Ovis aries: one gene and its partners. The protein of the gene in region 2 interacts with the protein of the main gene of each other region in a biochemical or structural test. Links are inferred from orthologs where the notes say so. Each region holds a gene or a part of one and is shown on either strand. Other genes may lie near its edges.

Region 1 (4,014 bases), on a different chromosome or scaffold from region 2:
TGCCATCCAGCCATCTCATCCTCTGTCGTCTCCTTCTCCTCTTGCCCCCAATCCCTCCCAGCATCAGGGTCTTTTCCAATGAGTGAACTCTTCGCATGAGTCTTAGAATCTATTAAAAAAATTTTCATTTTATTTTTTTTAGCTTGAAATAGTCATATAGTCATTTATATAATGAAAAGAGAACGGAAACACTAACAGGACTCTCTCGGACCTCCAGGCAGGTACCCCTCCAACTGCCACCCCCGCGGGCCTCGGCCGTCGGGTTTCTGCGCCGCCGGCCACGGCGTCCGCTCTACCGGTCGGGAAGCGAGGAACTGGCTTTGCCTCATCTCCCCTTCTCTTTCCCTCCCTCTTCAAGAAACCCTCCTCGTCGCTCACAGGTTTTTACCCCGCTGAGCGGCCGCGTGCCGGGGACCCACTCCTCCCCTCCGCCGCCTAACCCGTCTCTCAGACAAAGCCCAGTCAGGCAGGCGCGCGCCACCGGCCACACCGACCGGCGAGGCGGCCGCGCCGCCACGCGCTTCCCCACTGGCTCGGGACTGCTAGCTTGGCCGCGCCTCCACGCGCTCCCCTCGGCTCGGGACAGCGAGCGCTGCCGCACACCGCGCGTCCCCGCCGCTTCCTTCCCTCCAGAGTCTTCCTTTCCCTCCTCCAGACCCAGCACGCCACACCCCCACCCCAACCCACCGCCTCCGCGCGGGGAGTGCGCCTGCGCAGAAGCTGCCCTCTCGCCCCTCCTTCCCCGCCCTTCCTTCCCTCCGCCCCTCCTCCCGCGCCCCGCCTTCCTTTCTCTCGTCGATGTCACTTAGCGCTCCAGGTTGGGAGCCTTTAGGTTGATTTCCCCGCTACCCCGCCCCCCTTCCTCTTTTTCTCCCCACCCCTCCCGCCTCAGCCCGGTGGAGGATGAGGCGGCCGCAGTGGCCCCAGCCCCTGCAGCGGCACCGGCGGTGGTTGCGGTGGGGGTGGCCGGAACTGGGGTGGTGAAGAAGCGGTGGCGGCGGCGGCGGCTGAGGGAGCAGCAGCCGCCTCAAGCCGCTTTCCCCCCCGCCTCGCTTCCCTTCCTCTTTAGTGCAGCCAGGAAGTTTTTCGCTTCTGTGCATGTGTGTGTGTGTGTGAGTGTGCGCGCGCGCGCGAGTGTGGGTGTGGAAGGTGAAGGTTTGGGCGGCGTTTGTGCAGGCGTTGGGGTTTTTTGCCCACTTCTCTTCCCGTAACCCGGGGAGCTCCCGAACCTGGGCTGTGGCCCGGAGAGGGGGCGCGGCGGCAGCGGGCTCTCTCCTTTTGTTGTTGTTTCCTCCGCCCGGGGAGCTGAAGAGGGGACGCGCCTGGGTGGGGCGGCTCGGAGCCCGGGCCTGGTGGCCCCTGGGGGCTCCCGGGCGGGCAGGGTAGGGCCGCGTAAAGCGGGCTTCAACATGATGGCGGCCGAGGCCGGCGGTGAGGAGGGCGGCCCGGTCACCGCCGGGGCAGCGGGAGGCGGCGCGGCCGCGGCCTCGGGTGCCTACCCGGCGGTGTGTCGGGTGAAGATCCCCGCGGCCCTGCCCGTGGCCGCCGCCGCCCCCTTTCCTGGGCTGGCGGAGGCCGGCGTGGCCGCGACTCTGGGTGGCGGAGCCGCTCTGGGGTCAGGCTTCCTGGGACCTGGGTCTGTGGCGGGGGCCCCGGGGGGAGCCGGACTGTCAGCCGGAGGCGCTGCCGCCGGCGTGGCTGGTGTCGCCGCCGCCGCCGCCGCCGCCGCCGCCGGACCCGGCGGGGAGATGGCTGAAGCCAAAGGGACCACTTCGTTGCCCACTGAGACCTTCGGGGCCGGCGGCGGATTCCCTCCTCTGCCGCCGCCTCCTCCTCAGTTGCCCCCTTTGGGCGCTGGCCTGGGAACAGTGGACGAAGGTGACTCTCTGGATGGACCAGAATACGAGGAGGAAGAGGTGGCCATCCCGCTGACCGCTCCTCCGACTAACCAGTAAGTCAAGACCGGCGTTTTGGGGGAAGCTGACTCCTTGGAAAGAAATAGGAAAAACAGGTCTAGTTCTTTTCAGCTGTGACTCGTAGTGCTTTCAGCTGTGACTCGTGTTTTCAGCTGTGACTCGTTCAGAAAAAGTTCTGAAGCTCAAGGTTCCGTGCGTACGGATTTAATTTGATCACTCATCCTCCCTACAGGCACACTCCCTGGCGTCTTGGTATATTTATTGCTCCTCTGGGAAGATGTAAAGTTTTCAAGATGGGAAGCATGGGAAAATGTGTATCCAGGGAGAACCGGATATGGTTCTGTCCCTTGCAGATTGAGGTGGCGTCCTGGGATTCAGCTGAGTTTGCAGCTACCGAGGCAGTCGTAGTCTGTATTAACCTGGTTGCATTCCCTGTTGAAGCTAGACAATTAGTGAGAAGCTTTGAATATTTGAGTGAATATCGTGGTAGTATTGTTTGAAACGTGCCTTGGTCGGATTGCTTTGTTTTTGTTGCCCTGCAATTCCCGGCTTCTGGCTGTTGAAAGCACTGCGATGCAGAAAAGACTTTGGATTGCTTTTGAGAACGTGGGTCAGCGAGAAAGGAAAGTTCTGTTAATTACTGGTGTGGTTAAGGGCCTGTACTCCCACAGTATTTAACATGTGCAGTAGAATTCCCGTTTACTAATATGCTAGTATAATTCTTCTGTAAGTTGAAACTTTGTAAGTACAGTATTGAACTAGAATTAATATTGTGCTTCCCTTCACCTTTTGTTGGTGGCAAATACAGTATTCTATTTGAAAATTAATTTTGACAGTCTTCTGCAGAATATACAGGACAAATGACTTACATATATATATAGTACTTTCTCCCTTGTTCTCTTCATAAGTGAACTTAGGTTTGGATCTTGAGAGGAACATGTTGATGGGCAGTAGGCAAAACTTGTTTTATAGATCCCTCATATCTGTCTTAATTGTCCTTTAGAATTTTGACAACCTTGGTGAGGTATCAGAGGAAGAAAGATTTGATTCCTGTGTTGACCATCACTCTAGACAGTTGAAGGTGTTTTTTGTGTCTGTTTTTTTTTTTTCTTTTCTTTTTTTGGATAAGCTTCTTTAGAAAATTTAGAAAGGACTTAACAAATTAGGGCATTTTTGACTTAAGGCTACATACATCTTTTGATGGAAAAGTAAAGTTAATCTTATGTCAGCCATGGGACAGGGGAGTTTTATTCTTTTTATATTGTTCATCATGAGTTCAATTTTTTGTCTAATTTAATTTCTGCTTATCATTTCTTATCTACATATTGCAGACTTCTCTGAAGGTGTTCTGAAAGTATTAAAAATTCAAAATTTACAGCTCTGTTTACACATCTTCAAGCCTTTTTCAAAACTACTTAAGTATTAAGGGCCCTGTGGTTATGATAAAGTTCAGCTTTTCATAATGAAAGAATATAGTCTTATGTTAGTTCTTAACTAAATTGAATAAGGCATATTTAGTGTGTTGCAGTTCTAAATTTTTTTAAAAATAGAATTTATTTGTTAGAGCAGTTTTAGGTTCACCGTAGAAGTGAACAGAAAACACAGTGTTCCAATTAAATTTTTAATAAATATAAATGAGAACCTAAGAAAAATTATTCTTGTGAGAAATCCATTGTAAGATTTTCATCATTTGTGTTTGGGAATAAAAATATTATTTGTGTAACTCTGTATATGAGAATTGTTCATGTTCTAAAAAGTATCCTCCATTTCACTATAGTTTTTAAAAGTTGCCAACGAGAAGTACAAATTTCCCTCTCTTCTTTATCTTAGATATCAACCCAGACTTACTGGAGGCAATACAGTGTAGGGGTTAAGGTGCAAAATCTGAAGTTAGACAAGATTTGGGTTGGAATCCTGACTCTGCTACTTACTAGCTGTATGATCTTGCAAAGGTCAGGTTCCCCATCTGTAAAATGGGGTAATAATGCTATCGCCCTCATATGATACTTTTTAAGGTTAATGAGAAATCCCTGAATGTATTCAGCACAGTAACTCATACGTAGTAAGTGTTCAGTAAATTGGCTCAAATAGTACATAA
Region 2 (3,500 bases):
CTCAAATTTTCTTTTATGGATTAGTTTAGGTCTATCCAATTACACGCTAATTTAAAGCACTTCATTATTTATCTATGTAAAATTCAAATCTTTGAGGGACCTTGACTATGCTAAACTGTAGCTATCTTGGGAAACCAAGATGTTTAGCTTCTAAATACTGGTCTACAATTCCTAATCCAGAATTTTGAAATTCAAAACCTAAACAATACATATTTTTTGAAACTTATTTGACTATAAAACTTGAACTTTTTATGAAGATACTTAGAATCTTTTTTATTTATTTCACTTGACATAAGCTGCTACAAAAAATGTAGATTTTTTAAATAAGAGGTATTCCTAAAGACCTTGCAGAAAGGATGGTTACATCTGTTACAGTTTGGGTTCCCATGCTACAGAGATTTTGGTTGTTAACAAATGTTCTTGGGATCAGGACCCGTGAGAGAAGGAAAAGAAGTGAGCTCAGACTGTGATACAGTCTTAGCAAGGTGTCTCTTCTGTGACAGATGCTCTCTAGTGGATATTAGCTTAGAATACAAAGATCATCACACTTTATACCCACTCCCATGGATTCAAATATATCCCTCTACCCCAGACTGCTTTCAATTCCAGTTCCAGATCTTCTAGCATTTCTTCTCTCAGAACAAGACACTGCTCATGCTGTTGCTGTTGTGTTAGTTGCTCAGTTGTTTCTGACTCTTGCAACCCCATGGACTGTAGCCCACCTGGCTCCTCTGTCCATGGAATTCTCCAGGCAAGAATAATAGCTATTCCTTTCTTCTGGGGACTTCCGGACCCAGGAATCAGACGTGGGTCTCTTGCATTGCAGTCAGGTTCTTTACCATTTGAGGTCATATTTACTCTAAACTCATATTTATTCCATACAAAGTAAAGGCTCCTTTGTACTACCCAGAACTATGCCCATTGGTAGAATTTTTACTTGCCACTCTTTCCAGTTCACTCCTGACTGAGGCTGCAAGGCAGGTACCATGCATTTTCAGTTGCCTGCACCTACATCCCAAGATTAGTTTTTGTACCCCTCTGACCTCTTGTAATAATTGCCCTCTCTTGGTTCCCCATGTAGCCATAGATATGAACTTAGTAAAAGGTGCCAGCACAGTGATCAGTGGATAATGTAGGGGTTTGGAACACTTGCTTATGCAGTTTACTGTGTGAGTGCCCCAGCTCATATCAATTCCAAATTCACTGCTTCCGTCTTACAATGGATTTCCGTTGGCCCTTCTCAAAATTATGATGTCATGGTTTTTAACAAAACTTTGTTTGTGATGGGCAATTCGGACTACATGATCAATCAATTACCCATGGTTAGGTAATCCGTCTCTACCACAGCCCAGAAGCATGTCAGGAGTTATTTATTAAATGGGGTATAATTCCTAGAGGTCTCTGATGTGATTTTCCAGTTGAAACTTGCCATAACTCCACATGGCATATTTTCCCACCATACATACTTCTAATATTATAGAATAAGTATATTAGAATATTGTATAATATTCTAATATTATAGAAGTATGTACGGGTTTTATGATCCAAATAACAGGATTGCTTGCAGTCCAGCCTAGACTTGCACTATTTGCCTTTCCTGCTCTGGATCCCTTCAAGATCAGAAGCCTTCTAGGCTACCGAATACTGCCAGAATCAGTATTTCCAAACATGGAAGAATGCTGCCTTCAAAACCCAAAAGTAGCCTGGCAGGTATTGTGTTTTCCCTTTATTGTAGAAATGGATGCAATAATTTGTCCTTATTTTTGGAAGGGAATGTTTGGCATATCCCACCGGAATTCTAAACATTCTATCATGGCAAATAATTAGACGTTCATGGTTTATTTAGTAACCATTCCTAAAATCTGCTGCTGCTGCTGCTGCTGCTAAGTTGCTTCAGTCATGTCCGACTCTGTGCGACCCCATAGACGGCAACCCACCAGGCTTCCCCGTCCCTGGGATTCTCCAGGCAAGAACACTGGAGTGGGTTGCCATTTCCTTCTCCAATGCATGAAAGTGAAAAGGGAAAGTGAAGTCGCTCAGTTGTGTCTGACCCTCAGCGACCCCATGGACCGCAGCTTTCCAGGCTCCTCCGTCCATGGAATTTTCCAGGCAAGAGTACTGGAGTGGGGTGCCATTGCCTTCTCCGTTCCTAAAATTATGGGGTCGCAAAAAAGCCGGACATGACTGAGCAACTAATACTTTCACTTTCCTAAAGTACTGCCCTTCCAAATTTCATCTTTTTTTCTTTATATGAAGCTATGGGACAATTTCTACAGCTCTCCATTGAAAGATGAACATATTTTAAACATTTCCTCCTGTGATATAAAGTACACTCCCTTCATCCAAGGCAGTTTAACTTCAGCTTCATTTGTGCTTCATGTAACTTGAAGTATTTTTAGATTTCAAACTTGTATCATGGCATGAAATGAAGCGGAACTGTTGACAAACAAACTAAATGTCATGCAGTTTCCTAAGACTATAAAAGAAATTCACTAGTTCTGGGGGGCAATTCAGGATGTGGAGCAGTAGCCAAGCAAGTACCAAATGTTGTTAACACACGCTGCCCTTGGATTTGAATGCAGACACTCATAGATGCTATTTCAGGTTGATTGCTATTTCAGGTTGATATGTTTAGATAAGGAGTTGTTGTAGGGAAAGAAACATACACACTATCATTTTCAAAGGGTAATAATGTTCAAACCCTAAAATATCTTGTTTCAAATTCTATTGCTGAACATCAACATTATTGGTAAATTTACCTTTTTCTTTTTTTTTTTTTTTAATCAGATAACTTTGTAGTTGATTCCAGTTCCTGTGTGCGTGCTTGTCCTAGTTCCAAGATGGAAGTAGAAGAAAATGGGATTAAAATGTGTAAACCTTGCACTGACATTTGCCCAAAAGGTAGTGATTTTGTACTGTCATTCTATGATAAAAATGCATTTTATTGACTAAAGGAAATTTTTCTCAACTCCCTGATCTTGTTTCTACAGCTTGTGATGGCATTGGCACAGGATCATTGATGTCAGCTCAGACCGTGGATTCTAGTAATATTGACAAATTCATAAACTGTACCAAAATCAATGGGAATTTGATCTTCCTTGTCACTGGTATTCATGGGTCAGTATTACATTTTTATTGAAAATGTTATTGTAAAATACAGAGTTTAAGAGATTCTTTAGTTTTATCAGTCTGATTCATTTTGACACAGAGTTCCATTATATATTAATGGTTTTTCCCAGCAAAATCAATGTCAGATTTCACCAGTGGTAATTGTAAACCAAATTTTGCAAGAATAATCCAGATTATAAATTTGTTGACTACCTGTATTTGAAAATAATGATTTATATATAAGCTAAGATGTATTTATAGGATATTCTCCTCAAATTCATAGATTTTAGTGAGTTTGACACATTTGTAGATACATTTAGGGAAACACTATCAGTGGATAAAGTGGGAAATTTCATTCAAATTCCTAACCCAATTAGTTCAAGATGACATAA
Region 3 (3,983 bases), on a different chromosome or scaffold from region 2:
TAGAAAAGTCTTCTTAATCCTTGCAGTGCAGTTATAGCTGAGGACATGTGGTATACATTACAGCGCTCAGGGAATTCAACCTCCGCAGTGTGGAGTCACAGTGAAGGCTATTTTCAAGATGAAGCGGGAGCCTTCTCTATAGCTGTTACTGGTGTTTCTTGTTGGCTGGACATCAGTCCGGGACTGCTGTGAGTGGGACAGAAGGATGAAAATTTAAAGGGGACCCGTGTGGGCACATAAAGACCTCTCTCCCCTCCCTGAGCACCCCCTTCTCCAATGTATATTCCACACTTCACACTTGGGCATCACCAAGTCTTACCCAGTCATTGCAACAGGGCTGAAGGCAGAGCTGTCCATGGTTAGGAGGAAAAAAAAGAAAAACAATGTTCTTGCTGTTGGTTGAAACACCAGGCAATAACAGTCCTCTCGGTGAACAAAACTTATTAGAGGGCTGGGGATGGAATGCTATCTCTCTGCAGCAGGCAGGAAGAAATTGCTGTTGAAAAGCTTACCTCTCTAGGGAGGAATCAGATATCAGACTTTGCCAAGCCTCAGGTCCAACCCATAAGGTCCCACCTACATCCACCCCCCGCCTCATCCTAGCTTTGTTAGATTGCTAGCATTGATCGCTGGCTTTTTCTGACCCAACAGTGGATGCAGAAGAGAGAACCAGGGAGACTTTAGAGCATGGGAGGTGGGGGTGGAAGATTAGGGCAGCTGTGGTAGGGAGGAAAAAAGAGAGAAAGAGAGAGAGAGAAAGGAGGCTAGCCGGGTGGGGGCCATGGGGACTCAGCTTAACTGCTGTCTGCCTGCTTCTCTTTGATTTGATGGCCTTTATTCCTTCTAATTGGATAAAATAGGAAGTCACTGGCAGTCCCGCCTTGCTGGGTATCCTGATTCTACTCAGACCAGCCAGCAGCCCCAGAGTGCGGATAGAGGGGTGGGGGTTGGGAGAGGAGGGAGGTAAAAAAGAAAGAAAGAGGGGAGAGAGAGAGTCTCTGGATGAAGAGGGGGAAGGCAAGGGGAAGAGACTGTGGAGAAGGCAGGAGCCGCAGAGGAAGAAAGTGAATGAGCCTCGGGAAGGACAAAGAGGAGTGGCTGCGCGGGTGGGGGAGAAGGCAGGGCGGCGAGCGCGGCGACCGCCCCTCCCGGCCGCGCTCTCGCCTCCAGCGCGCTCTGCGAAGAGACGCTTCGCCGTGATGCTCGGAGGGCAGGCACCTGCTGCTCTGTGATGATTCAGCCCCTTTCAGCCGCCGCGCTCACACCACAGGATGCTGTTGCTACTGTCGCTGCTGCCGCTCCTGCCGCCGCCGCTGCTGCCGCCGCCGCCGCCGCCGCTGGTCCTGCTCCTGCTTTTACTTCTTCTGCATGACAGTTGCTTTCTCCATCTGAGCAGACCCCAGCTGCAGCTGCTCGAGGTGAGAAACATGCCTTTCAGTTTGGGCTACTGGTTTACTTAACCGACCGCCGCCGCATCAGCTCCTGGGTTTCTCCGCTGGCCTCCGGTCTTCCTGACCCAGCCAGGATGGTTTGGAGAAGCATATAAAAGAACTGCAAAAGTGGCCCAGAAACAGCAGTCAAGAATTACAATATACTTTTATTTGGTTGTTGTTGTTGATTTTTTTTTGGCCTCCCCTGCCTTCCTCCTGAACTCCTCTTGCTTTTGATAATGGCCTTGGACTTGGACGACTTATCGATTTCTCCCTGTAAGATGCTGTATCATTTGGTTGGGGGGGGTTCTGCATGGTAATGGACAGTGTGAGAGGCCAGGCCTCCTGGAGGTGAGCCGATGGAGATTTATTCCCCAGACATGTCCGAGGGAGCTGCTGAGAGGTCCTCGAGCCCTTCCACTCAGCTGAGTGCAGACCCATCTCTGGACGGACTTCCGGCAGCCGAAGACATGCCGGAGACCCAGACTGAAGATGGGAGGTCCCCGGGGCTCGTGGGCCTGACTCTTCCCTGCTGCGTCTGCCTGGAAACCGAGCGCCTGAGAGGTTGCCTCAACTCAGAGAAAATCTGCATCGTCCCCATCCTGGCTTGCCTGGTCAGCCTCTGCCTCTGCATCGCGGGCCTCAAGTGGGTGTTTGTGGACAAGATTTTTGAGTATGACTCTCCCACTCACCTTGACCCTGGGGGATTAGGCCAGGATCCTATTATTTCTCTGGATCCAACTGCAGCTTCAGCTGCTGTGTGGGTATCAGCCAAGGCGTACACTTCACCTGTCTCCAGGGCTCAGTCTGAAACTGAGGTTCGAGTTACAGTGCAAGTTGACAATGCCCTTGGGTCCTCCGAGCCTTCGGCGGTCCCCACCCCCAAGAACCGTATCTTCGCTTTTTCTTTCCGGCCGTCCACTGCTCCATCCCTCCCTTCACCCACTCGGAGCCCTGACGTGAGAACACCCAAGGCAGCCACTCAGCCACCATCAACAGAAACTAATCTCCAAACTGCTCCTAAACTTTGTAAGTAGAGAGAGACGGGTGAGGATGTGTAGAGGAGATGGGTGGGCTTGAGGTCGTCCGAAGTGTTCTCTAGAGGGTAGAGCTGAGGTCCTTGTCTTCTCGGAGTTGAATGGCACGGTTTGGTTTAAGCGCATCACGTGACTGGGTTGCTCCGGCAGAGATGAGTGAAAAGACCTTACAAACTGCTGGTTAGAACTGATGCTATCACAGCAACTCTCTCTTCCTGGATGGTGAAATCTGGGGTGAGGACCCAGAGCTTCAGCATCTCTGAGCCATGCTTGACTTTCAGTTCCATTCCATAGGTTTCTAACACTTTTTAGGATGAAAACATCAGACCATTTTATATATATATGACTTCTGTACAGCAGTGAGTAGGATCCTGATGTGTTTTTTTTTTCCCCATGTAAACTTTCCATTACCTCTCCTCACCTTTCTGCTATCCTTTGCCTTCCAGCCAGCCCAAGTTGCGAGTTATCTTTCTCCATCTCTTCTTCCTGTTCCCTAAACCACTTCTCCCCACGTTTGTACTTTAATTGCTTCTTCCCAATATCACATGAAGTCTTAGATGTTTACAGCACTCACCTCTTACCAGCAGGTTGCTGTCATGCTCAGATTATAGTTTGAGTTGCTGAGCACTTGTTAGGGGCAGTTTTATTCAGGATCTGGTACAATTCCACATGAAAAGATTTTCCCCAAACTAGGTTGTTGTTTTTTTTTTTAATTTTATTCAAGTATAGTTGATTTTACAATGTTGTCTTAATTTCTTCTGTACAGCAAAGTGACTCTGGTATACACACACACACACACACACACACATACACACACACACACACACACACACATATATTCTTTCCTATTATACTTTGTCCAAAGTGGTTTTGCCTTCTGGAATCAAATATTTAAATAGCTTCCTTGACAGTCATTAGAAAGTACAAGACGCATTAGTAAATCTTTTTTTTTCAGATGTGTCTTTTTTGTCCGTAAGACTGCAGCAGTCCTGTTTAATAATCTGTGAGTGAAGAGAGCCCGTGCTCTTAAAACAATACAGAGGAGTCCTATTGCTGTCTGTACTGGTCATTGCCATGCTTTATAATGGAAAAGTTGACAAGGATGAAACCATGACTAGTCAGATTGTTTTAAATGTCATTATAGAAGAGAGGCATTTTCTATAGCTTTTAAAAAAGTTTCTAATTTACTTTCGTTTCACTGTCTTCTGTTCACCATTGAAACTGTTTCCTTAGAAAAAAGTAAAGGATCAGAGAATTCTGTTTGAATACCGTGTGTAAGTAAAGTCTCTAAAGGAGAGGTGAGGGTAAAGATTCTGTGATGTAATACCCCTACTGTTTCCCTCTGGATGGTAATGAAGATTAAAAATATCTTTTGCAGACATGTCGTTCAGTATGCGGGAGAGCCATATGTTCTAGAAATGCAGAAAAACTTGATTTGTGCTTGTGATTCAGGCTCATTTCATACACACCAGTTTCAGTGGCAAAGATTTAAAGAGAAAAACAAAAGAGGCTTGCT
Region 4 (3,500 bases), on a different chromosome or scaffold from region 2:
GGCCAGGGTTGGGGTGGATACACCCAGGGGCCTGGGGAAGCGAAACGAGCAGCCAAGGGCTGGCACCCCACCCCCGGCTGGAGCCGTGGGCCACCTACCTGACGGAGAGGGAGAAGTCACCCTGGTTCTTGCGGCTGGGCCGTGCCAGGAAGCTTCCGTGGACTCCTCGGCCCTTGAGCAGGGTCTCCGCATCCAGCCCACTGAGGTCTCGGTGAAACCACCTGGGGGCCGGGAGGGTGGTGAGGAGAGGCCTCAGGGCCCTGGGGCACCCTGCCTCCTGCCTACCATGGGTGCCCGGCCCTTACCTCACCATCCTGGGGTGCCCGGGGCGGGGAGGGGGGTGAAGGCGTGAGGCAACGGCGTGGTGCCGCTGAGTCTGGGCAGGCGGGGGACGCTGGGGCTAAGCTCTGGCAGCTATCAGCACCCAGGCCACCTCGCCACCCAGCGCGGTCCTGTCCTGCTTCTGGGCTGCCACTCCACTGGCCTGGGGCAGCCGGCAGGGCGGGGACAGGAAGGGGCGCGGCCGACCCCTTGGGGGAACTCACTCACTTCTCGTTTTAGGGCAGAGCAGGGAGAAGCTCGGGGTGGCGGTGGGGGTGGGGACAGGACCCACTTCCCACACGCCCGCCATTGAAGGCCTGGGGAGGGTGGACCTCCACACACGACCACCCAAATGAGAACACACGTGAGCCTCCAGCGCCCCAGGCCAGCTCATGCTTGGTCCATGGGAACCCACACAGTCACGCGCCATCTCTTCCTGCTCCATGCAGCCTTCCCTGGTCCAAACCAATAATAATGCTGAGGGTGGCAACTATCATTAGCGGTGTCTGCCTAGACAACAGGCACAGTGCTGGGCAGTATTTACCTGCCTTATCTGATATGTCCTCAAGGTAGCCCTGTGAAGCAGGTACCTTCATTATTCTCATTTTCCAGACAAAGAACCTGAGGCTCTGGGCGTGAAGGCAGCTTGCCCCAGGGCCACACGGTCAGTAAATGGCAAACCAGAGTGCAAACCGGATGGCCTGGCTCCAAAGCTAGTGATTTTAGCTACTATATGCCAGGCCTCAGGGCTTCAGAGAACAGAATAAAAAGTTAAATAAAAAGTTAAGGGACTTCCCTAGTGGTTCAGTGGTTAAGAATCTGCCTTGCAATGCAGGCAGGCCTCACAGGTTCAATCACTGGGCAGAGAGCTAAGATCCTACATGCTGTGGAGCAATTGAGCCGTGCCACAACTAAATCTGTGTACCACAATGGAAGATCCTGTGTACTGCAACTAAAACTGGACACAGCCAAATAAGTAAATTTCAAAAAAGAAGAGAAAAAGTTAAAAAGGTTGGGGAGGGGGGCACTTCCCTAGGGGTCCAGTGGCTAAGACTCTGCTCCCAAAGCAGGGGGCCCAGGTTGGGTCTCTGGTCAGGGAACTAGATCCCACATGCTGCAGCTAACACTAGGTGCAGCCAAATAAATAAATAACTTTTTAAAAAAACGAACAGAGGTTGAGAGACTCTTCCAATCAGGCCAAAGTGGGGGGAGGGCAGTTTCCTAACTGTTTAGGCTGGGCAGATGCCTCTTAGAGGCATAGAAACCCTCCCTCGACACACACATCTGAATAGGTGCCCTGGGACAGAGGGCTGGATAAAATGACCCTGGAGCAGCCCTGTCCAACTGGCACCTTCCCTGCTTCTTGTCCTCGGCCTTTGGGCCATCCACCGTGCCCCAACCCTGCAGTCAGGTGAGAAGCGGAATGCGAAGCAGGTGGGGCCAGAGCCGCCAGCCCTATGGATGGATCCACCGGAGTCTGAACTGTAGGTTCTTGCTGAGGGGGTCTGGTCTGAATCCGACGGAGCTCAGGACTCTGCCCAGGGGCTTGTCTCCTGGGCTGCAGCGGGGCACCCAGACCTGGCCATGGCCTATTCTCAGGGCCTGTTCACCTGCAGAGGCCCTAAACACTAAAAGCTTGTGATACTCCGTCTAATTCCAAAAAAACATACCGCCAAACGAAAGCAAGAGGAAAGAAGCCCAATGCAAGATACACAAGAGGGGACTTCCCTGGGAGTACAGTGGTTAGGACTACAGAGTGCAAGGGTTTGATCCCTGCTCAGGGAACTAAGATTCCACAAGCCCTGAGACACAGCCAAAATTTAAAAAAAAAAAAAGATACACAAGAAATCCTGTGAGTAGATTCCCTAGGGAAGGGACCAGAGCGGGTAGCTGGAGGAAGGGGCTGGGAGGGACCTTTCCATCTCTCTCCTTCCACCTTTTTTTAAAAAATATTTTTGTATTTATTACTTATTTAATTGGCTACACCAAGTCTTAGTTGTGACATGCAGGATCTTTGAGCTTCATTGCAGCCTGCAGGGTCTTTAGTTGCTGCATGTGGGGTCTACTTCCCTGAGCAGGCATCTCTCCCAGGCCCCCTGCCTTGGGGGCCTCTTAGCCACTGGACCACCAGGGAAGTCCTTCCAGTCCACCTTTTTGAAGACTGTAGCATGAGCATGTAGCCCCTTCATTAAAATAAGTATACTGACTGGGAGATGGCAATTTCTGGGATAGCAGATCTGAGTGGTGTGTACACAGATGAAGTAAATGTGATGTTCAGTATTCAAGCATATTATGTATGCTATGCCTCAAAAAAGAAGGAAAAATAAGAATCAACTCAAGCCCAATGAAAGTCTATTTTCTTATGTTGGCTACTTTATCATTTTTTGAATATCAATTCTCCGCCCTCCCCACCTCCAAAAAGGGCTTCTGGAGACCCTGCTTGATCTATTTATCTCATGGTCTAACACTGACTACCTCTATCTTAGACAGTAGTAGCCTTGAAAGACTATGAACTCTCTCTCGCAGCAGGGGGCAGGAAGAGAATGGACACCGTCACCTCTACTACCGGGGGCCCTCACCTCCAGCACAGGAGGTCCACAGCTGGTATGGCTCACCTCCAAGTGGTTAAAACTTAGCACCATGTCTCACAGAGAGCATGTGTCAAATGACCACATTCATCCAGACCCATGCACATACATGGTCACAAGCCCAGGTCCAGTCCTACCCATGCACATCCTACTTGTCACATACCGATGAGTATACACGCGTGCGCGCACGCGCATGCACAAGCATCCACTTACGCACACACAGTCCCACTAAAGGCAACCTCATCATCCAAGTCCATCTACACACGTATATAGTCAGGTGCAAACACCCACACATAGACACATCATCCCAACCACCCACAAAGTTGCAGGTCCCTACATAGCACCCAACACCCCCTGTACTGTGGCCACAAGCCACTGTCCCTCTGGAATTTTAAAAAAGAAACTAACTAGGCACTCAGAAACTCCTGACCATCAAAGAGACAGGAATTTCTCTGAAGGGTGTCAAGTCAGAAGGTAGACAGACACTAGGATGATACACACAGTCTCTACTTGGCAGGAAAATAAATAAGAAGCACCACCCTTCCCTGGGCATAAGTGCTCTGGAGTTCACAGAGCACTTGCACGTGCACA
Region 5 (4,066 bases), on a different chromosome or scaffold from region 2:
ACTGAAGGTCTTATTGGGCAGGGTTGGCTGGCCAAGTATAAAATGGCTCCCTTAATAATTACATGGAATTTGCAGTTGAGTGGGAGAAATAATGATGTTGGCTTTGAGTATGTTAAGTTTGGGATGTCTCTTAGCCAGGAGGGAAAGCTCTAGCTCCCGCCTCCCTTTCCAGAATAGCATTCCCAGCTCAAGTCAGACGTCCTCCTCCGGCTGGTTTCCTGCAGTCCTCAGGCGAGGATAAGATTCTCTAAGACCTTACTGGAATTCCTGAGCTCCGTATCCTTCAAGGACATAAGCTGGGTATTAAAATCTCTCTGGATCCTTAATGATAGAGTGAGAAAGGATCCTTAACTTGCTTTTAAAAATCAGATGCTGGCTTCAGTGAAGCAAACTCCCCTGCCTCTTGCAAGCATCGATCTTTGAGAAAGAAACCATTTCCTGTGGGGTAGCTCTGGCCCTGACCGTCTCTGGCTCTCAGGTTGGCTCCCAAGAAGCCCCTACCTCCTTAGGGAGAGGCTTTAAGGGGGGAAAAAAGAAGGTGATGAGGTTGTGTAGCATGCAGCCTGGTTCTGCCTGGCTGCTGGAAAAAAGCCCAGAGACTTAGAGGCTGGACCCTCTCTTAACCACCACCCCTGGTTGGGTGGCCCCAACGCCTAGCCAAGACTCCATGTAGCCTCAACTCTTCACCCAAATGACGGGGCTGGGATCCTCCCCAGCTGACTCGAATCTCCAGCCACTCACCAGGAGGTGGAGGGCCAAGCCCGTGGGCTCAATTAGGGACTGGCCCCTAGGGTCCTGCCGGGGAAGGGAATATACAACCCAGGAGGCAGGTCAGTCACCCTGGCCGTGGCATCTCCCTGGCTCCCACAGCCGATGTCCAAAGGCAGAGCACACCCTGTGTCCCACTCTCCCTTCATAGGACGGTACCAGAATCTGCTACCTTTACCCTGCCCTCTGCTCACGCACTACCCCCACTATCGTGCGGATAAATCCCCAAAGCACAGCGTAGCACGATTCCTCTCGCTTCCCTGCGGGGCCTGAAGCTAGGCACTAAAGCAGTGCAGTCCCAAGCTTCCCCTGCAGAAGCCGCGCTCCCCACTCGGTTCGGGGGTAGAGGGGGCGCGAGAGAGCAAGTGGGAGGACGTCCCATCCTCCGCATCCTCCTCCCGGTCCCGGCGCGCAGGGTGGGAGCGCTGCGCCGCTCCGCGCTGCGCATCTCGGCCCGCTCGCTGCCTGCCCCCCTGCCCTCGCTGGGCCACCTCCCCGGGCCGCCGGTGGAGGGTTACTGGGCGCTAACGTTACGCTGTTTCCGGTTTTCCAGCGGGCTCTGGTTTCCCCTCCCAAGGCGGCGGCGGCGGCGGCGGAGCGGCGGAGCCCCCCAAATGGCCTGGCCAGATGCGGCAGGTTTGCTGCTTAGCGCTGCCGCCGCCGCCGCCAGTGGAGAAGGCTCGGTGCAGCAGCTACAGCGACAGCAGCAGCAGCGAGAGGAGCAGCAGCAGCAGCGGCAGCGGCAGCAGCGGCGAGAGCGGCAGGAGCAGCAGCAGCCACATCAACAGCAGCAGCATCTCTCGTCCCGCTGCGCCCCCAAAGCCGCGGCCGCCGCAACAGCCGCAGCCCCGCAGCCCCGCAGCCCGGAGAGCCGCCGCCCGCTCGCGAGCCGCAGCCGCCGGAGGCATGAGGCGCGACCCGGCCCCCGGCTTCTCTATGCTGCTCTTCGGTGTGTCGCTCGCCTGCTACTCGCCTAGCTTCAAGTCGGTGCAGGACCAGGCGTACAAGGCGCCCGTGGTGGTGGAGGGCAAGGTACAGGGGCTGGCCCCGGCCGGAGGCGGCTCCAGCTCCAACAGCACCCGCGAGCCGCCCGCCTCGGGTCGGGTGGCGCTGGTGAAGGTGCTGGACAAGTGGCCGCTCCGGAGCGGGGGACTGCAGCGCGAGCAGGTGATCAGCGTGGGCTCCTGTGCGCCGCTCGAAAGGAACCAGCGCTACATCTTTTTCCTGGAGCCCACGGAGCAGCCCTTGGTCTTTAAGACAGCCTTTGCCCCTCTCAACACCAACGGCAAAAACCTCAAGAAAGAGGTGGGCAAGATCCTGTGCACTGACTGCGGTGAGTTGCCCCCTCTCTCTGCTGGAGAAAGGGGGGAGGGGCGAGGTGGTGGAAGATGGGGGTGGGGCGGGAGGTATCTGCAGGTGCCCGGGCCTGGCAGAGCCCGGGGCCGCTGGTGAGGGCTGGGGGTGGGGGGTGGCGGGAGAACGGGTGGTGGGGCTGTCCCTGGGCAGGGCGCTTGGCATGGTGGGTGAGGGGGTTGGTGTTGGGGAGAAAGAAGATTAGGCTCGAAGTGTGCCAGGGCTGGGGGGCGGGGGGACGCGCTGGCCTGTGCCAGCAGGGATCTGCGGCTGATGTATGGCATGTGGGGCTGGAAAGCTGCCATCATAGCCCAGTAGCGGCAGGAAAAAAGGAGAGGTCCGCGTGTTGCTGGCCCGAAGCTCAGTGAGTCAGGAGTGACCCTCGGAGGCCTTGCCCGCTCTGCTCCCAAGGGCCTGCCTTGCCCAGGCTGGCAGGGTCTGCAGGAGCAGCTGGGCAGACTCCCAGGCTGTGAAGGCCTCCGCTTACAAGTTCTCCTAGGGAATGATGGCCCCCGCCCCCTCCTTCCTCTCCTGGGCTTCGGGCTCAGCTCATCCACACCGCTGGCGCAGGCAGAGTTGGACTTTTTCTGCTACTGTTTTCTGTCCCCCATGTGGTTCAGGGTTTTGTTTTGTTTTGTTTTGTTTTCCTCCATCGTGATTGCTTGTCTTTGCTGAGCTGGTTGCACAGCCCTCTCTTAACCTCCAGTACTAGTGAGCAGACACCTCTTTTGGCTGTTTCTGGGAGATCTTCCTAGGTCTGTTGCTTGTGATGACGGGTGAAATAGAGTAACTTCTCCTGAATGCTGTGAAGTTCAGCTCTGACATCTTACGGCGCAGGATGTGTTGACTGCATATCTCATCTTCATGATGTTGGGTGCTACACAGGAATGCAGGTGATGAGAAACACAACACTGAAGTCTGTCCATCTGTGCAGCTGGGAATGGAGTCTCCCATGTGAAAAGTCAAAGAAATGTCAGTTTAAGATCTTTTCCTCCTTGTCCCTGAATCCAGTAATTACTTCTCAGGAAGCTATTTCAAACCAAATCGTGGCTGGACTGGAGTGTTTGGTGTTAGCCTGTCTTGTGCTTATTCATATTGGGGTTTCATTTCGTCCCAACTAAGGCTGAATTTGATGTTTGCAGTGTGCGTCTGAGCTGTGCAGTCACTGAACTGTGATAGATACCCTGGTCTGTCATAGAAGTTGGTATATTTACTAGTCTGCCAACTGCTTCTGAGTAGTGTAAATAAGACTCTGAGTAGCAAAGAATGTGTAACAGCTCGGAGGAAGTTTTGCTGCCCTCATCTTTCTAGATCAATGCCTTTGACTTTTGGAAGCTTCCTTTCTACTGCATGTCCCCCGCCCCCTCCCTGCCCCTGTCCTTCAGAAGACAAATTTTAGTTTGTGGTGGGAATATATCTAGATATTATGTTAAACTGTGATCACTTTAATCAGAAGAATCTTGCAGTGTCTTAATAAGGAAGAAAGAAACTTTTGGTGATGACAGCAGTTTATCTCTCTGACATTGTTCTGAGGAATATTGTTGACTGCTCTTTAATGTTGGTTTTTGTGCTCTGAAACATTTTATGATAAGTTGAGACCAGTTAAGAATTTCTAATTTTTTATTCTGCTAAGTGATTTTTTTTTCCCTGAGATTCCTTGGGGGAGCTGTGGAACTGTATTATGCAGCGAGAAATAGATAGTAAAAACATTTATTGAACCTTGTCCAAGGACAGCTTCTGTTTTGCTTTTCAGTGAGTTGCTCCTGAGTGTGCATTGTGTACATCCCCACCTAATCCCCAGTCTGATGCACCAAGCCCCAGTGGTCATCATCCCCTGTCTTGCTCCTCTGTTCCCCCTTCTTCCTTCAGTTATACCTTGTTTATTTTAGTGAGTGTTTAATAGCTAAATAGTTGAATATGGAGATCATGAAAGACCTAGGGGTCA
Region 6 (4,272 bases), on a different chromosome or scaffold from region 2:
ACTTGAAATGCTCTTTTTCTAAATTTCCACTGACTGCTCAGGGCTTCCCTGGTGGCTCAGATGGTAAAGTGTCTGCCTGTAATGTGGGAGACCTGGGTTTGATCCCTTGGTCGGAAAGATCCCCTGGAGAAGGAAACGGCAACCCACTCCAGTACTCTTGCCTGGAAAATTCCATGGGTGGAGGAGCCTGGTAGGCTACAGTCCATGGGTGGCAAAGAGTCAGACACAACTGAGCAACTTCACTACTAGACTGCTCCTTGACTCAAATATCATCCTTAGTGAAGCTTTCCCTAAATACCCCCATTTAAAGTAATATAAAGGGCAATGGAGAAAAGAAGGGAGATGAGTATTGGGGGTATTATCTCAATTGTTTTATTTATTATCGATTACTGTAGCTCCTCCCATGAGAATATCGGGGATTTTTGTCTTTTCAGTTCACTTTTATCTCTATAGTGGAAAATCAGTGCCTAGCAGACAGAAAACGCTCACGTTTCCTTCTAATGATAATAGAGCTAATAATGACACACAAAAAAAGTGAAAAAGTCAAAGTGTTAGTTGCTCAGTTGTGTCCAACTCTTTGTGACTCCATGGACGATAGCATCACAGGCTTCTCTATGGAATTCTACTGGCAAGAATACTGGATTGGGTAGCTATTCCCTTCTCCAAGGGATACTCCCGACCTAGGGATTGAACTGGGATTTCCTGCATTGCAGGCAGATTCTTTACCATCTGAGCCACCAGGGAAGCCCCAATAACTACAGGAGAGAGTGAGTAAAAGTCGCTCAGTCGTGTCCGACTCTTTGCAACCCCATGGACTATACAATTCTTGGCATTCTCCTGGCCAGAATACTGGAGTGGGTAGCCTTTCCCTTCTTCAGGGGATCTTCCCGACCCAAGTATCGAACCAGGGTCTCCTGCACTGCAGGCGGATTTTTTACCGAGAACTTATTAAACAGACCAGGCCTAGTTCTAAACATTTTACATATTTAATCGTCCTCATAATCCTAAGAAGAAAATACAATTACTATTCTTTTTACAGAAATCAAGGATGGAGGCTCAGAGAAATCAACTTTCCTAAGGTTCAGTTCAGTCGCTCAGTCGTGTCCGACTCTTTGCGATCCCAACCTCTTTCCTAAGGTTACACAGCAGTAAGTGGAACAACTATTTGAGGAATGAAATGAATGAAATTCGACTTCACAGCGCAGGGATGGAAATTGACGCTGTGGGAGCAGCTAGAATCAATTCACGCGACTGCGTGTAACTTTGAGCACACAACGCACGGTTTAACGCCAGGATCTAAAGGAGAATGAGAAGGTCCTTTGGGAACAGCGCGGCAGAGGCTCCACAGATCCACTGAACTGCCATGACCAGCCTCAGCGCAGAATGGAAGCAGGAAGTAGCGGCGGGCGTCGCGTGGGAGTGACGTCACGGAGGAGCCGGCGGGGAAGGGCGGGGGAGGAGGAGGAGGAGGAGGAGGAGCGAACCGGGCTTGGGGGGCGGCTGCACAGTCTCCGGGCTCCTCAGGCCTTGAGGGGGGTCTGCGCGCGGCCGGCTGGCTCTGCCCGCCCCCCCCACGTCCGGTCCGGAGCGGGCCTCCCTCGGGCCAGCCCGATGTGACCGGGCCCAGTGGAGCCTGAGTAAGGAGCCGGTTCGTCGCGGAGCCGGAGGGCGGGAGGAACATGACATCGCGGAGGTGAGGAGCCCCGAGGGCCTAGCCCGGGCCTCGGCCCGGCCCCCGCCGCTTTCAGTCAGCTCCGCCCGGGAGGGGGCGGCTCGGCTGGGCTTCGGACTCCTGCCCGGGGTCGCGGGGCAGGCTCCGTTCCAGCCCCCTAAGCCCTCCAGGGCCCCGGGGCCCGGCCCTAGCGCGCCCCCAACCCCTCGGGTCCTCATTCATTTCCTGCCTCCACGGAGTTCCGGCTCCCGCAGCCCTGGGGATGCCCGTCAGGACGGGGACAGGTAGAGCCGCCCGGGGAACCGCGGACGCTAGCGGCTCGGCTCGGCGCGCCGCATTCCTGACCCATTGCCTCATGAGAATTGCCTCATGGTGATTCCGAAATAACCCCGCTCACTTAGGGGAGGCTCCTCGGCCCGGGACGCGGGAGGGGAGAGGAGAGAGTTGCGCGAGGCCAGGCCGATAGTCGAGCCTTTTTGGGTCACTCTGCGTTTTGCGCGCATTTGGGGGCTTTACTCAGGGTCCTTGACCACTTTGTATGCCTCTTTGCATCTTCTTCTCCCCCCCCCCCCCACCCCTCACGTGCCAGAAATGGAAAAACTGACTATATCTGCAGCTATTAGAAGTATTTCCTTCCTCTGCGATCTTCGCTTTGGGAGGTGGGAGGGAAGGGATCGTATCTCTAGTTATTTTAATCCTTCACCACAACCTTAAAAGTCAGGTAACATTAATTACCTCCGTTTTACGGATGTGGAAACTGAGGCTCAGAAGAAACATACTGGTAAATGACAGGGTTTGAACCTAGAAGTCAGAAGGAAGATGAGTGAGTTAATGAGATCCTTGGAAAGTAGTATAGTAGACTATACTACTAATTGCTAACATTTATTTAGCTCTTACCGTATGCCAAACACATTTAATCCTTATAACCCTATCAGGTAGGTACTGTTATCCCGCTCTAAAGAGAGTAAATGAATTTCAGAAGTTAAGCAACTTGCCTAGTAGTTCTAGTGCTAGTGTTGGTCGCTCAGTCGTGTCCGACTCTTGCCTAAGGTCACTCAATCAGTAAGTGGTGGAGACAGAACCCCACTGTTAATTGCTATTATAACTATTGCCAATCATTTGTAAGCCTTAATTTTGTTGTTAAATATTAGTATGATTGATTGTTTTCAGATAATGATCCTGCTATTGTATTGTCATTCTGTATAGAATTCACACTGTCTTAGACATTTGGAAAACTGTTTCAAGCTGTTGGGGTTATTGACTGAGAAACTTCAAAACATTAGGAATGTCTTCTCAGAAATACACCTGCACATTATTCATTGATGGGATGAAAAGAGTGAAAGGAGAAAACTGAAAACTCAAGCAGTGAGTGATTTGGACAGGTCTTCTGGCAAGTGCTTACAGATCTGGGTAATATATAATTGCATTTCAGCAGAACAGCGTATAGCCTCAGATGTTCTAATTCTTTAGAGAGCGTTTAAATAAAACAGTTTTCTATTCTTTAATCTGTCAAATAGTCATTGAGCCTTTTGTTCCTTGTGTCTGCTTTTCCAGACAAGTAAGGATCTGCTTCTTTTAGGAGACAAAAAGTCTGGGGACTGGGGGTGGGGTAGGGGCTGGGTAGTAATAGACCCTACATTGTCCAGCTTGTTAATTTAGAAGCCAGGAAGTGTGAGAAGAGCCAAAGCAGCAAGTGGTAAAGATGACAGTTTGAAATGAAGTAATTCCTCCTCTCCTCTTCCGGCTCTCCCATACTTGTTTTGGAAGAGAAATATGTGCCCCCTAAGAAGTCAGATTATGATTGTAATGCACACACACACACACACACAAATGATTGTAATGCACGACTTCCCAGGTGGCTCAGTGGTTAAGAATTCACCTGCCAATGCAGAAGACTCAGATTGGATCCCTGGGTGGAGAAGATTCCTTGGAGAAGGAAATGGCAACCCTGTCCAGTATTCTTGCCTGGGAAATCCTATGGACAGAGGCGCCTGGCTGTCTGCAGTCCATGGAGTTGCAAAAGAGTCAGAGATGATTTAGCAACTAAATAACAACAACAACAGTGCACACAGTTGGGGATTATTTATTATTAGTTTTCAGATCATAGGTCTTTTATTATTTTTAAACCAGCTTTATTGAGGTATAAGTGACATGCCACAAATTCCATATATTTAAGCATACAATTTGATAAGTTTCCACACTTATACACTCAAGAAACCAGCAATACAATCAAGATAATGAATATATCCGTCACTCCTGTGATGGCTCCCGGAACCCTTTATAATCCCTTCCTTGTTGCCAGGCAGACACTCTTCTGCTTTCTGTCACTATATGTTAGTTTGCATTTCCTAGGATTTTATACAAGTGGACTTTTGTGTGTGGCTTCTTATGCTCAGCAGAATTATATTGAGGTTCATCTATGTTGTTGTGTATGGTAAATAGTTCCTTTTTATTGATCAGTGATATTCCACTGTATGCCTGTACCACCCTTCATTTTTCCATCCAGTTGTTGGTAGACATTTGGGTGGTTTCAGAGTTTGAAGTCAGGTGAAGTCGCTCAGTCGTGTCCAACTCTTTGCGACCCCATGGACTGTAGCCTA
Region 7 (3,500 bases), on a different chromosome or scaffold from region 2:
CGGGTTTCGCCTTCCCCCCAGCGCCTGCCTCCCCGGCTGCTTCCTGGCTTGGGCTCTGCGAGGGCTTCCCGGCTTTGCCAGCGGAGGTGGGTGGCGGGGGCGGTGGGGCGGGTTTGAGCTTGGACAGCTTCCCCTTGTCTCTCCCCGGGGACTCGGAGGCGGGCTTGTGCCTCCTACCCCGGGGCTCCTCTGCAGCAGTGGCGGCGGCCTTGCTGGGCCCTCCGGAAGCTCCTGGCCCGGCCCGGCTGGTGGGGGGTGCCGGCTCGGCGGGTGTCCCCGCGGCACTGGGCCTGCCGGCATCCTCCTTGTGGGGAGGGCTGGAGGGAGGCGCAGCCGCACCCTGCCTCCGGAGCGGTTTTGGCGTCAGGCTGGGCGGGCTGGAGCCCGGGCTGGCCTCAGCCGCGTCCTTGAAGACCTCGTCGGCGGCCTCCTCGGTTTTCTTTACCAGCCGGGGTGGCGGGGTGACCGTGCCTCTGGTCATCTGGTCAGACCTGTTCTCGCTTGCCCGTTTCCGAGGCAGGGCCGGCTTCTCGCTTTTGTGGCCTCCGAAGGTGGACGAGTCGAACTGCCTGCTGGTGGACTGCAGGTCCCGAGGTAGGGTGACTGACCGCCACTCTGTGTCCTTGGCGCCATGGGGCACGCAGGAGGCTGAGCAGGACCTCAGGAAGCGCTTGCTGGCACCACCACCGCTCTCCTCTTCACCGGCAGCCAGCCGGCTGCTGGTCAGTGTGCTGGACTTTTTCCACAGGTGGGGCGACCGGAAGCCCGCGCCCCCAGACTCCCGGAAGGCTCCATTGGGGACCCCGGCCCCGCTGCTGGGCTTCGGCATCTTGGCCGACTCCGCTGTGTCCAGGGGTGCCGGCGCCAGTGCCCCGTTACTGATTTCCCGGCCTTCCTCCTCACTGGCCGCTTTCCGCTCGGGCGGGCCATCCATCTCCCGGAAGGAGCTGCTGCGTTTGGGAGGGGTCGGGGCAGTTTTCTTCTTCTTCTTGATCAAGGCGCTGAACAGGTTGGTTTTCTTGTCTTTGGGAAGCAGGCGTTCATCCTCGTTGAGGCCGCCATCTGGAGGACCCCGCTCTTTTCGAGGGAGCAGTGGAGATACAGCGGGCTCATGGTCCACAGGATCTGAAACACACAGGGAAGAGCTGAACGAGTCCAGGCCAGAAGCGAAGAGCCTGGCCTCGCACGGGCCGGCGGCCTCTCCTCACAGAAAGGCCCTGCATCTGGGCTCTGCCAGGCCTGCGTGTGTGGTTGGGCTGCCCGACCCTGGCGAGTGACTTCTCTCTGCTCACCCTCGGCCTCCTCATCGATGAAACGGAGCACATTAGAGCTACCTGGAGTGCTGCAGTGAGAATAGAAGGGATGTGGGCATTTATCACAGCTCCTGGCACGGAATCCTCAGTAGCTGTTGGCACTGCATGTTGGTGTTGTCATTACTGGGCAGAGCTAAGCTCTCTCTCCTTGAAGACAGCAGAACAAAAAGCTGTGGCACCCGCGCCCACTGCCCCACCCCTGTTAAAGCAGAAAAGGCCCCTGCACACCACCATCTGGAGGGTACAAGGCAGACGAGGCCAAGCACAGGGTCAGGAGCTGGGCCTCTCCCACCAGGCGGCTGCTTGCGGCTCCCGCAAGGCTGGGCAGGAGGGAGAGGGGCCGCGTGCCACAGAGTGCAGTGACAACAGGCTATTATGCTCGGGGAACTAGAAGGGTGACCTTTTAAAACTTTTAAATGGGCATCCTTTAAATATGAATAACAGTGTCTAAGAAATCTTTCTGGCGTTGCCAAGCTCCCCGCGAGTGAGTGACAGAGCTCTCCCTCCGAGGGCGGGAGCAGCGCGGTGGCCATCAGCACCTGGGACACTGAGGGACGGGGCATCTGTCAGAACAGCAGGCTGCACACAGGACTCCCAGATCCGGGCAAGTCAAGGCCCTCCCCAAACCTCAGCCCCGTCGGAGGAAGGCGAAGAGAGTGAATTTCTAATGAATTATGCACAGCTCTGTTTCAGGGGCTGAACAGCTAATTGACACTCTTGGCACGCCATGAGATTACATATCAGAATACCCCTCAGATGAATACTGATGGGGGGTAAATGAACATGATGGCTTATCACTGGCCTTTTAATAAGCCGAAAGTTCTCAGAGTGGCCCCTCCTCCCCACCGCTGTCCCACTTCCTGACATCAGGACGACTAACAGAAGGATGGAGGGGCCAGGTTCTAGATAGTTTACATGCTGTCGAAGCAGGGCAAGCAAGACGGTCCAGGGAGTGTGCAAAGAAAGCAGGATAATTTATCTCTTATGTAAACCTTTTAAGTGTATATTTTTGCTCTATTTCACAGTAAATGTATTTGTGCAGCAGTACATATACAATACCTATGTACAGGAGCTACACATTCAACTTTTAAAATATGGGTACATGATGAAAGAATAGCAAGGAGAGATAAGAAATCTGAAAAATTCCAGATATTCAAGCTGGATTTAGAAAAGGCAGAGGAATCAGAGATCAAATTGCCAACATCTGCTGGATCACGGAAAAAGCGAGAGAGTTCCAGAAAAACACCTACTGCTGCTTCAGTGACTACGCTAAAGCCTTTGACTGTGAATCACAACAAACTGTGGAAAATTCTAAGTGATCAATGTGAAGAAATAAGAGGAAAACAATAGAATGAGAAAGATTAGAGATCTCTTCAAGAAAATTAGAGATACCAAGGGAACATTTCATGCAAAGATGGGCTCAGTAAAGGACAGAAATAGTATGGACCTAAAAGAAGTAGAAGATATTACAAAGAGGTGGCAGGATTACACAGAACTATACAAAAAAGATCTTAATAACCCAGATGACCACGGTGGTGTGATCACTCACCTGAGCCAGACATCCTGGAGGGAGAAGTTAAGCGGGCCTTAGGAGCATCACTGTGAGCAAAGCTAGTGGAGATGGTGGAATTCCAGTTGAGTTACTTCAAATCCTAAGAGATGGTGTAAACGCCATATGCCAGTAAATTGGGAAAACTCAGCAGTGGCCACAGGAATGGAAAAGGTCAGTTTTCATTCCAAACCAAAAGAAAGTCAATGTCAAAGAATGTTCAAACTACTACACAACTGCACTCATTTCACACGCTAGCAAAGTAACGCTCAAAATTCTCCAAGCTAGGCTTCAACGGTACATGAACCGAAAACTTCCAGATGTTCAAGCTGGATTTAGAAAAGGCAGAGGAATCAAACTATCAACATCTGCTGGATCATGGAAAAAGCAAGAAAATTCCAGAAAAACATCTACCACTGCTTCATTGACTATGCTAAAGCCTTTGACTGTGTGAATCACAACAAACTATGGAAGAGCTGGGATATACCAGAACACCTTACTTGCCTCCTGAGAAACCTGTATGCAGGTCAAGACGCAACAGTTAGAACCAGACATGCAACAACAAACTGGGTCCAAATTGGGAAGGGAGTATGTTAAGGCTGTATATTGCTACCCTGCTTATTTAACTTATATGCAGA

What was found.
Region 1: the proteins of ERBB4 (region 2) and RASA1 form a complex in vitro, tested with the Homo sapiens proteins (2 studies listed by BioGRID and IntAct, with this or other methods). The link is inferred for Ovis aries from reciprocal best matches to the Homo sapiens genes ERBB4 and RASA1.
Region 3: the proteins of ERBB4 (region 2) and NRG1 form a complex in vitro, tested with the Homo sapiens proteins (2 studies listed by BioGRID and IntAct, with this or other methods). The link is inferred for Ovis aries from reciprocal best matches to the Homo sapiens genes ERBB4 and NRG1.
Region 4: the proteins of ERBB4 (region 2) and PTPN6 form a complex in vitro, tested with the Homo sapiens proteins (2 studies listed by BioGRID, with this or other methods). The link is inferred for Ovis aries from reciprocal best matches to the Homo sapiens genes ERBB4 and PTPN6.
Region 5: the proteins of ERBB4 (region 2) and NRG2 form a complex in vitro, tested with the Homo sapiens proteins (2 studies listed by BioGRID). The link is inferred for Ovis aries from reciprocal best matches to the Homo sapiens genes ERBB4 and NRG2.
Region 6: the proteins of ERBB4 (region 2) and PTPN11 form a complex in vitro, tested with the Homo sapiens proteins (2 studies listed by BioGRID, with this or other methods). The link is inferred for Ovis aries from reciprocal best matches to the Homo sapiens genes ERBB4 and PTPN11.
Region 7: the proteins of ERBB4 (region 2) and ABL1 form a complex in vitro, tested with the Homo sapiens proteins (2 studies listed by BioGRID and IntAct, with this or other methods). The link is inferred for Ovis aries from reciprocal best matches to the Homo sapiens genes ERBB4 and ABL1.

What each region holds. Positions count from the first base shown.
Region 1 is NC_056058.1:84,552,087-84,556,100, forward strand, and holds the start of RASA1 (ras GTPase-activating protein 1), read left to right. Parts: upstream 1-1,214; 5' UTR 1,215-1,409; coding exon 1,410-1,951; intron 1,952-4,014. UniProt on the Homo sapiens protein: Inhibitory regulator of the Ras-cyclic AMP pathway. Stimulates the GTPase of normal but not oncogenic Ras p21; this stimulation may be further increased in the presence of NCK1.
Region 2 is NC_056055.1:213,465,239-213,468,738, reverse strand, and holds part of ERBB4 (receptor tyrosine-protein kinase erbB-4), read left to right. Parts: intron 1-2,787; coding exon 2,788-2,901; intron 2,902-2,990; coding exon 2,991-3,117; intron 3,118-3,500. UniProt on the Homo sapiens protein: Tyrosine-protein kinase that plays an essential role as cell surface receptor for neuregulins and EGF family members and regulates development of the heart, the central nervous system and the mammary gland, gene transcription, cell proliferation, differentiation, migration and apoptosis.
Region 3 is NC_056079.1:27,643,960-27,647,942, forward strand, and holds the start of NRG1 (pro-neuregulin-1, membrane-bound isoform), read left to right. Parts: upstream 1-1,183; 5' UTR 1,184-1,271; coding exon of another isoform or gene 1,272-1,460; 5' UTR 1,461-1,789; coding exon 1,790-2,459; intron 2,460-3,983. Other genes in the region: uncharacterized LOC128092250 homolog, read left to right, coding at 1,272-1,460. UniProt on the Homo sapiens protein: Direct ligand for ERBB3 and ERBB4 tyrosine kinase receptors. Concomitantly recruits ERBB1 and ERBB2 coreceptors, resulting in ligand-stimulated tyrosine phosphorylation and activation of the ERBB receptors.
Region 4 is NC_056056.1:209,354,266-209,357,765, forward strand, and holds part of PTPN6 (tyrosine-protein phosphatase non-receptor type 6), read right to left. Parts: intron 482-3,500; exon of another isoform or gene 314-481; coding exon of another isoform or gene 306-313; intron 222-305; coding exon 99-221; intron 1-98. UniProt on the Homo sapiens protein: Tyrosine phosphatase enzyme that plays important roles in controlling immune signaling pathways and fundamental physiological processes such as hematopoiesis.
Region 5 is NC_056058.1:48,884,841-48,888,906, reverse strand, and holds the start of NRG2 (pro-neuregulin-2, membrane-bound isoform), read left to right. Parts: upstream 1-1,266; 5' UTR 1,267-1,395; coding exon 1,396-2,101; intron 2,102-4,066. UniProt on the Homo sapiens protein: Direct ligand for ERBB3 and ERBB4 tyrosine kinase receptors. Concomitantly recruits ERBB1 and ERBB2 coreceptors, resulting in ligand-stimulated tyrosine phosphorylation and activation of the ERBB receptors.
Region 6 is NC_056070.1:61,963,578-61,967,849, reverse strand, and holds the start of PTPN11 (tyrosine-protein phosphatase non-receptor type 11), read left to right. Parts: upstream 1-1,472; 5' UTR 1,473-1,679; coding exon 1,680-1,693; intron 1,694-4,272. UniProt on the Homo sapiens protein: Acts downstream of various receptor and cytoplasmic protein tyrosine kinases to participate in the signal transduction from the cell surface to the nucleus. Positively regulates MAPK signal transduction pathway. Dephosphorylates GAB1, ARHGAP35 and EGFR.
Region 7 is NC_056056.1:5,788,136-5,791,635, forward strand, and holds part of ABL1 (tyrosine-protein kinase ABL1), read right to left. Parts: intron 1,126-3,500; coding exon 1-1,125. UniProt on the Homo sapiens protein: Non-receptor tyrosine-protein kinase that plays a role in many key processes linked to cell growth and survival such as cytoskeleton remodeling in response to extracellular stimuli, cell motility and adhesion, receptor endocytosis, autophagy, DNA damage response and apoptosis.